Canis lupus familiaris: one gene and its partner. The protein of the gene in region 2 purifies or fractionates together with the protein of the main gene of each other region. This does not show direct contact. Links are inferred from orthologs where the notes say so. Each region holds a gene or a part of one and is shown on either strand. Other genes may lie near its edges.

What was found.
Region 1: the proteins of POLR2E (region 2) and POLR3D purify together in Homo sapiens (affinity purification with mass spectrometry; 6 studies listed by BioGRID and IntAct, counting the BioPlex papers as one, with this or other methods). This does not show direct contact. The link is inferred for Canis lupus familiaris from reciprocal best matches to the Homo sapiens genes POLR2E and POLR3D.

What each region holds. Positions count from the first base shown.
Region 1 is NC_049246.1:35,180,821-35,185,040, reverse strand, and holds the start of POLR3D (DNA-directed RNA polymerase III subunit RPC4), read left to right. Parts: upstream 1-1,420; 5' UTR 1,421-1,570; intron 1,571-1,783; 5' UTR 1,784-1,788; coding exon 1,789-1,953; intron 1,954-2,895; coding exon 2,896-2,939; intron 2,940-3,894; coding exon 3,895-4,046; intron 4,047-4,205; coding exon 4,206-4,220. UniProt on the Homo sapiens protein: DNA-dependent RNA polymerase catalyzes the transcription of DNA into RNA using the four ribonucleoside triphosphates as substrates.
Region 2 is NC_049241.1:58,128,669-58,132,629, forward strand, and holds the start of POLR2E (DNA-directed RNA polymerases I, II, and III subunit RPABC1), read left to right. Parts: upstream 1-1,161; 5' UTR 1,162-1,238; coding exon 1,239-1,295; intron 1,296-1,518; coding exon 1,519-1,693; intron 1,694-2,939; coding exon 2,940-3,055; intron 3,056-3,467; coding exon 3,468-3,548; intron 3,549-3,961. UniProt on the Homo sapiens protein: DNA-dependent RNA polymerase catalyzes the transcription of DNA into RNA using the four ribonucleoside triphosphates as substrates.

The DNA.
Region 1 (4,220 bases), on a different chromosome or scaffold from region 2:
ATTGGAGAAAACTTGAGATCTCTGTATTATTTCTTAAAACTGCATGTGTATCTGGGGCACCTGGGTGGCTCAGTTTGTTAAGCATCTAACTCTTGATTTCTGCTCAGGTCATGATCTCAGAGTCATGAGATCAAGCTCTGGGTAGGGTCAATGCTCAGTGCAGAGTCTGCTTGGGATTCTCTTTGTCTTGCTCTAAACATCAATCAATCAAAACAAAAAACAAAAACAAAAGCAAAAAAAAAACTCTGCATGTGTATCTACTACCTCAAAAACTTTACTTCAAAAAGAAAGTACAACTTCTTTTGGCCAGTTATCACGAGTCTGAAAAGTTGTCCTAGGGATAGATTCCAAAAGAAGAAAAAAAGGTTAAATGCACCAGATGTTCACTGTAGCGTTATTTACAACAGCGGGGGTGGGGGTGGGGGTGGGGGTGGTGAATCTAAGTGTCCAAACAGGAAAATAGGCAAATCATGACACAGCCACCAAGAATTATTACTCATTTGATGCGGCAACAAAGAAATGTTATTTCAAAAGGGCTTCAAAATTGTGGTACAATAGGACAGCTCTACAAGGGGATTGCAATATATTACAAAAGTTTCAATGGTAGTATTCTACGTGGAATTGTAGCAGAATTGTTTTTCCTTCCCTCAAACTCTCTGCAATGTTACGTGGGATTAATTAATTAATTAATTAATTTATTTATTTATTTTGCATGGTTTGGGGGTGGAGAGAACAGTAAAAAGGCTTTTTTTTTTTAAATGTTAATGTCGGAGTCACCATAAAAGTTCTTTAAATTCGTCCCTCCCAGTCGGAGCAAACTTCATTTTTCAATTCGGGGCTTGGAACGAGAGTGCACACAAGGGTCGGCAGTCCAGAGCCGGGTGCGTGCTGCAGTTAGCACGCTGGGTGCACTTAGGCACCCAGGTAGCCCGCGCAGCTGCCCTGGCGCAGCGCCCGCAGCCCCACCTCGGGACCCTACCAGGAGTCCGGGCAAAGGACCCCCGAGCGAGGGCGAGGCCGCAGCCCAGAGGACAGTGACCACTCCAAGGTCACCATCGAGCCCACAGCCGCGGCTCGGCCGGGCCCGGGGCGCCCCAGCCCCGCGCCCGGGTCTCGCTCCCGGCCCCGCGCCCCGCGCCCCGTCCCGAGCCGCGACCCCACTGCTCCCAGAAGCTCCGCCACGGCGAATCCCCAGGTTGGGTCGTGGCGGCCGCCGAGGCCCCACCCCGGGCTCCGAGCTGAGCGCCGCTGCCCCCTCCGCCCGGGCCAAGCCCCCAAAGCGCGGCACCACAGCGTAACCCAGACCAGACCCCTCTTCCTTTTTCGCCCTCTCAACCCAGCTTTTCCCGACTCCGGGAAGAACCGGGAAGAGAAGGCGGAGGGGAGCGAGGCGCCGCCGGATAAATACTGTGGCCCGGCCCCGCCCCCTGACCTCACTTCCGGCCCGCGGCAAGATGGCGGCGCCCGGGCCCTGCCACGCAGACTTCCGCCCGGCGCAGAGACCCGGGGCGGTGTGCGGGCCGCGTCGGAGGTGAAGTCGGGACGCGCGTGGTGCGGAGCCGCCGCCCGGGTACGCTGGGGTGCGCCTCTGCCTCGTGCCTGGCCGGGAGCCTGGGCGGAGGGCGAGCCAGGCGCTCCACCTGGGTGGTCCGGGGAGCCTTGCCACGTGGAGAGGGAGGGACGCCGGGACTAGGGGAGGCCACGTGGGTGGGGTTCCGCCCCGGGTCCGTGTGTCCGCCCCCTCGAGTGACTCTGTTTTGCCCCTTTCCTCCTTTTCTCCCAGGCAAAATGTCGCAAGGAAACGCTGCGGGCGAGCCGAGCGCCCCGGGAGGCCCCCGCCCCCTCCTCTCTGGGGGCCGGGGGCTTGTTGGGCGGCGGCCGGCGCCTCCCCTCACTCCGGGTCGCCTTCCCTCCATCCGCTCCAGGGACCTCACCCTCGGGGGAGTCAAGAAGGTACCCGACGGCGCCTTGCTGAAGAAACCCTGCTACCTCGAGTCCCAGGACCCTGGGGTTCACCTGACGCTCGCGTAGGGCCCGCCGCGTGCCAGGCTCTGTGTTGGGCCCAGGGAAACCCCGTCCCCAGACTTCTGCTGACAGATTCTAGGGAGTCTAGACACCGGGCGCAGGACCTTGACGTGGTTCTCAGAAACGGCTGAAGGGCAGAGAATCCTAATTACTTCCCAGGCAACTTGGGCAATGTTTATTTACTTTTTAAAAATGTGTTTGGGATACCTTTAAGAAACCCCTGAGAGCCAGCAGGCATAAAGTTTGCCCTCAATTTTAGAGAGTTCTGTATCCGCCATGGATTATGGTGGGCAAACTGTGATCTAGTGTAATGAATTCTAGGCAGGGCCTTGGAGGCTCAGTGTTCTTTTGCGTCGTGTTTATCACTGTAGATGTTAAGATCGTCCCGAAATTGGGGAGGGGAGGCAGCTGGTGGTGGTGATGTAGCAGAAGCATAAAGCAGCTAGTTTTCAAAGACTTGTTTGCCTTGGGAAATGCTGGTGGCAGTCTAGCTGTGTCTGTTTGTGGGTGCAGGCGGACTTTGTACTTGAGGCTTGCTGCTAGAGCTCTTTCCTGTGATATTCAATGATTTGACAAGAAGTGAGATTAGATAAATAAATTGTAGAAGTGCTCAGGGTTCTCCTTTCAGAGGGCAGAAGCTGAGGCCACTAACTAAAATGGGGTTTTGGTGCCCTGTTCAGTGTGTAAGTCCACTGCTATCATGACAGGATCTTCATTCCTTTTAAGCACATGCCTATCTCTGTAAACCATTATAACAGTAGGGAATGTAGAATGGTGGTCTTGGTCCATACAAGATCCCTTTTGAGAGTTTTCATTTTTCTCTGTACTTTGGGAAACTTAACAAATCAGTGACTCATATTTTATTTTCAGAAAACCTTCACCCCAAATATCATCAGTCGGAAAATTAAGGAAGAGTAAGTAGCTCAGCCTTCTAAAAACTTTCCCCTTGGGGCACCTGGGTGGCTCAGTGGTTGAGCATCTGCCTTCAGCTCAGGGCGTGATCCTAGGATCCAGTCCTCAGGAGCCTGCTTCTCCCTCTGCCTATGTCTCTGTGTCTCTCATGAATAAATAAATAAAATCTTTTAAAATAATAAAACAGGGAAGCCCGGGTGGCTCAGCGGTTTAGCACCTGCCTTCCACCCAGGGCGTGATCCTGGAGACCCAGGATTGAGTCCCACATCGGGCTCCCTGCATGGAGTCTGCTTCTCCCTCTGCTTCTCTCTCTCTCTCTGTCTCTTATGAATAAATAAATAAAATCTTTTAAAAAAATAACACAGATTTCCCCTATTGCTCTGAATTTGGGTCTTTTGGGAAATAACTACGTATGTGGCTCAGAAATCTAAATTTGTGTATTTTTTTTTCACTAGTGATTTTTGACCTTGGCTTCCAGGTGATTGTAACGTGCAAGTTTTAAAAAACATACTGATGCCTGGAAGTCCATCTCTGGAAATGGTGATTTAACTTTTTTGCGATGAAAGAGAGTGATTATCCTTTACGGCTGGAGTTGAGAGACACTAGTTTAGACAAAAATGTGTTCAGTTCTCACTTACATTCTTTTGTATCACAGTCTTCTTGCTTTTAAGCAATACTGAGAAGTCCACATTTAGGGGCAGTCTCTGTAATTCCACTTTTGAGTCGTAGTCCTGTTATATACTCTCAAGCAAGAAGATAAGTAAAGTGAACTGAAAGGAAACTGCCCCATCAAGGAAGTAGAAAAGGTGCTAGACTTAGGATTGGGTTCTGCTTCTTCAGATACAGTCACTGGCTCTTGATTCTCTGCTCGGGTAGAGTAGAGTGTGTGTCAGAGTAAGACCAGTTCTCTGAGGCAGAGTGAGTGAGTGGTTTCCCTTCCTCCATTCTCTTTTCCAGGCCCAAGGAAGAAGTAGCCATCAAGAAAGAGAAGCGTGACAGGGATAGAGACCGGCAGCGAGACGGGCATGGACGGGGCCGAGGCCGCCCAGAAGTGATCCAGTCCCACTCCATCTTTGAGCAGGGCCCAGCTGAAATGATGAAGAAAAAGGGTACAAAGCTTCTGGGGTTCCGGGAAGAAGAAATCCATAGATTTCAGTCCAGACTGCCCAAGAGAAGGGCAAGGGCAGTAAAATTTCCCTGCTCCCTGTGTGCTTTTCCTTGCTGTTGGCCTCTTCCATGCCCCTGGTGAACTGAGTTATTTCCCACAGGGAACTGGGATAAGA
Region 2 (3,961 bases):
ATCCACCAGAGGGTGCAATGTGTGCAAAGGCCCTGGGGCTGCACTTTGCCTGCTGCGTTGGCTGCAGGAGGCCCCGGGGGAGGGGGGAGGGGAGGTCAGAGGCTGTCGTGGGGCAAGCCTGGGGCACACCTGGGAGGCCTCGTTGATTGCCTTGAAAAGCCGGGGTTTTCCTTTGCTGTTGCTGCATTTCAGCTGAGAGATGGGGGAGGGGGAGAGGAGGGAGAGGGCCACAGATGGGGGCTCACGTCGGCGCCTGCAGTTCTGAAGGTGGAGGGTTTGCAGTCGGACAGGATGGACAGGATGTGGAGAAGGGGCAGGACGGAGGAGCGGAGCTGCCGGCCCAGGGCGGACAGACTAGGGAGAAACGGGTGTAGACGGCAGATAAGAAAAAACGGGCTGGCGGAGGGGGTGCCTGGGGGGCTCCGTTGCTTAGGCTTTTTTTTTTAATTCTCGAGAGACAGAGACAGAGAGACAGAGAGAGAAAGAGAGAGAGAGAGAGGCAGAGACACAGGCAGAGGGAGAAGCAGGCTCCACGCAGGGAGCCCGACGTGGGACTCCAGGTCTCCAGGGTCACGCCCTGGGCTGCAGGCGGTGCTAAACCGCTGAGCCACCCGGGCTGCCTTTCTTTTTTTTTTTTTTTTTTTTAAGACTATTTACTCCTGAGAACCGCTGGGGGAGAGGCAGGCTCCTGCGGGACCCGATGCGGGACTCGAGCCCACGATGCGGGGATCACACCCCGAGCGGACGCTCAGCCACGGAGCCACCCGGGCGACCCGAGGCTGCTGCGCAGTAAGGCGGCGGCGACGCCCAGCAGCGGGATGCGTACCTGGTGGGGGGCCTGACAACATGCCCTGCGCCCCGGGGAGGCGAGCTGACCGCTGACCCCACCCTGGCCTCAGTTTCCCCGCCCACACCTCGCCTCCGCCCTTCCGGATTCCAAACTCCCCACCCACACGGGCATCGGGCGGAAACCACAACTCCCGACAGGCCCCGCGGCCGAAACCCCGCGACAACTGCCGAGGCGAGAGTGGGCGGTCCCGTTCGCTCGGCTCTGGCTCCGCCCACCGCCGCTCGCAGAAGGCCCGGGCTGCCCTCGGCGCTGCCGCCCGCGAAGGTCTCTGGAGTCCGGCGTTCGCTGTGGGCAGCCCCGCGCGGGGCTTGGCAGGGCTCGGCGCAGGCGCAGTCAGCGCGGGCCCCTGCCGCGGGCTCAGGCGCGCGGGTTGCGAGCGGCGGCCGCCATGGACGACGAGGAGGAGACGTACCGGCTGTGGAAGATCCGCAAGACCATCATGCAGGTGAGCCCGCGCGGTCAGGGCGGCGGCGGGCGCAGCTCGGAGCTTCCGGGCGCGCTCGGCGGGTGCGTCCCGGCCTCTGCGGCCCCTTCCTGTGCGGTCCCCACGCGCTCGGAGGCGCCGGGCCGCGGCCCTGTCCGTCCTTCTCCGCGGTGACGTCATCCGGCCGCGCCCCTCCCGCCCCGCCCTCTGAGCCCGGGGGTCACCCGGCTGGTGCTCCCTGCAGCTGTGCCACGACCGCGGCTACCTGGTGACGCAGGATGAGCTGGACCAGACGCTGGAAGAGTTCAAGGCCCAGTTTGGGGACAAGCCGAGCGAGGGGCGGCCCCGGCGCACGGACCTCACGGTGCTGGTGGCCCACAACGACGACCCCACCGACCAGATGTTTGTCTTCTTTCCAGGTGAGGGTCGCGTGGGTCCTGGGTGGCTGCGTGACCCCTAGGAGTCCGCAGCCCTCGTGCAGCCATCCAGGGACGGTGTCTACACCCGCCCTCCCGAGTGCCCAGCCTGCTGCGCACGGTGCCACGGGGTGCTGATGGGAGCCCTGGGTTCTGTTCCCCGCTGACTGTTCGTTCAGTGCAGCCGGATTGTCGCAGGCCTCCCGGGGGGCCCAGCCCCCTGCCCAGAAGCAAGGGCGTCGGAAACCTTTGCAGGAGGGACCCTCCTGGTGCTCGTGCAAACAGCGTCCCCGTGTGTGGGTCGGCCTGTGGCAGGGCCCTCCCTGGAGTGGGCCCGGGGCGCCCGTGTGCTCCAGTGGGCCACAGAATGGGACTGAGCGGCCGTGCTGGTCCACCTGGACCGCCGCGACTGGGCGCCGCAGACCGGGCGGCTTCAGCAGCAGCCTGACCTCTTCCGGGGCTGCAGGCAGGACGTCTGAGACCAGGGTGTGCACGGGGCTGGGTCCCCCTGAGGCCTCTCCCTGGCGTGCCGGTGGCCGTCTTCTCCATGAGTTCCCGAGGTCGTGCCTCTGTGTGTCTGTGCTGTTGTGTCTGACTGAGGTCCATCCTGACAACCTGGTGGAATCTCCTCTTTAAAGACCTCAGTTCCAAGTACGGTTGCACCCGAGGTCTCGGGGGTTAGGATTGTAACACGGGGATTCCGTGGGAAACAGCTCAGTCCCTGACGCTGCCCGTCAGGTGAGCAAGGGTCCGAGGGGAGTGCTGTGATGGGGCAGATGTGGTGCACCACACGCACCCGTCCTGGCAGCAGGCACCCAGTTGCTCACCTTCCACCAGGCTCAGAGGGTCCCGCAGGTCTTGGCCCCTGTACTGTGGTGAGCGTGAGGGTTCCCACCGTGGCTGTGCAGGGAGGGGGTTTGGTCCTTCAGGTCAGCTGCTTCATCTGGGGATTCCAGACATTGCACCACGTAGGTCCCCAGATTCAGCTTCCAGGGAGGGATCCACCAAGTGGGTAGATGCAGGGCACCCATCAGCTCCGTGGGGGCTGGGGGGGAGGACTGGCACCCTGGTGGGTTCCCTGGGGCCCTAGAAAGAGGGAGCTGGTCCAGAGAGGCACTGCTACACCTTGGCAAGGTCAAGCTGGAGCCCGCGCGCCTAGCAGGGTGGAAGTGAACGAGCAGGTGAGTGAGCAGGGCCCTTGGGGCAGGAGGGACTCTTGCAGTGTAGACCTCGTGTGTTCTGTCCCCAGAGGAGCCTAAAGTGGGAATCAAGACCATCAAGGTGTATTGCCAGCGGATGCAGGAGGAGAACATCACCCGGGCCCTCATTGTGGTACAGCAGGGCATGACTCCCTCCGCCAAGCAGGTGGGCACGCTGCTCGTGTTGGCCGCACGTCCTCATGGGCCCCAGGATCTGGGGATCTGAGAAGGAGCGGCTCTCCCGTGTGGGCAGAAGCCAGAGCAGGGAGGTGCCCTGCATGGGTGCCAGCATTCCTGTGGTTAACAGGTCCGAGGAGGGGCTGCTGTTTGGGACGGAGGGCCAGCTCTGTGCGCTCGTCCCTGCAGGGTTCTCTACGTCACACCAGCACAGGGACAACTGCAGGAGCATTTTGTTAGGTGTCACAGTTTGTGTCGGGTGGTCTCTTCCTCCCAGAGGAGCCTTACTGACCTGACACGTGGGAACCCCCTTTGGCTCCCACCTGCCCTCAGCCCCTGGGAGAGGTGGGGTGGCGGCGTCTTGGGCCTTGGCTGTGCGTGAGGGTCAGCCTCTCTTTCAGTCCCTGGTTGACATGGCCCCCAAGTACATCCTGGAGCAGTTTCTGCAGCAGGAGCTACTCATCAACATCACGGAGCACGAGGTGAGGGCCTTAGTGGGGGTCTGCGGGAGGGGAGGCTGGACGGCTGGTGAGGTGGCACCTGCCCGAGCACAGGGAGGGCCTGGGGACGCACCAGGTGCCGCTGCTCCCACTTTGTGGGGAGGAGGAAGCAGAGCCGGAGTCTCAGTGAGGCCCTGGGCACTTGCCAGGTGTGCAGTCAGGCAGCTGGGGGGCAGGGGGTGGGGTCTGTCCAGGGGCCCCTGCACTCTCCAGGTTATACCCCCCCAGGCGCCTGCAGGCCATAGCTCCTTCCCCCCAGGCGTGGAGTCAGGAGCAGGGTGGGGTGGCAGCTGGGACCCTTGGGTGGATGGTTGACTCCAAGGAAACAGCCTGTGGCGCTCTGCTCCCCTTTCCCGTGTGGGGGCGCCGTGGGGCCTGTCACACCCACAGACTCA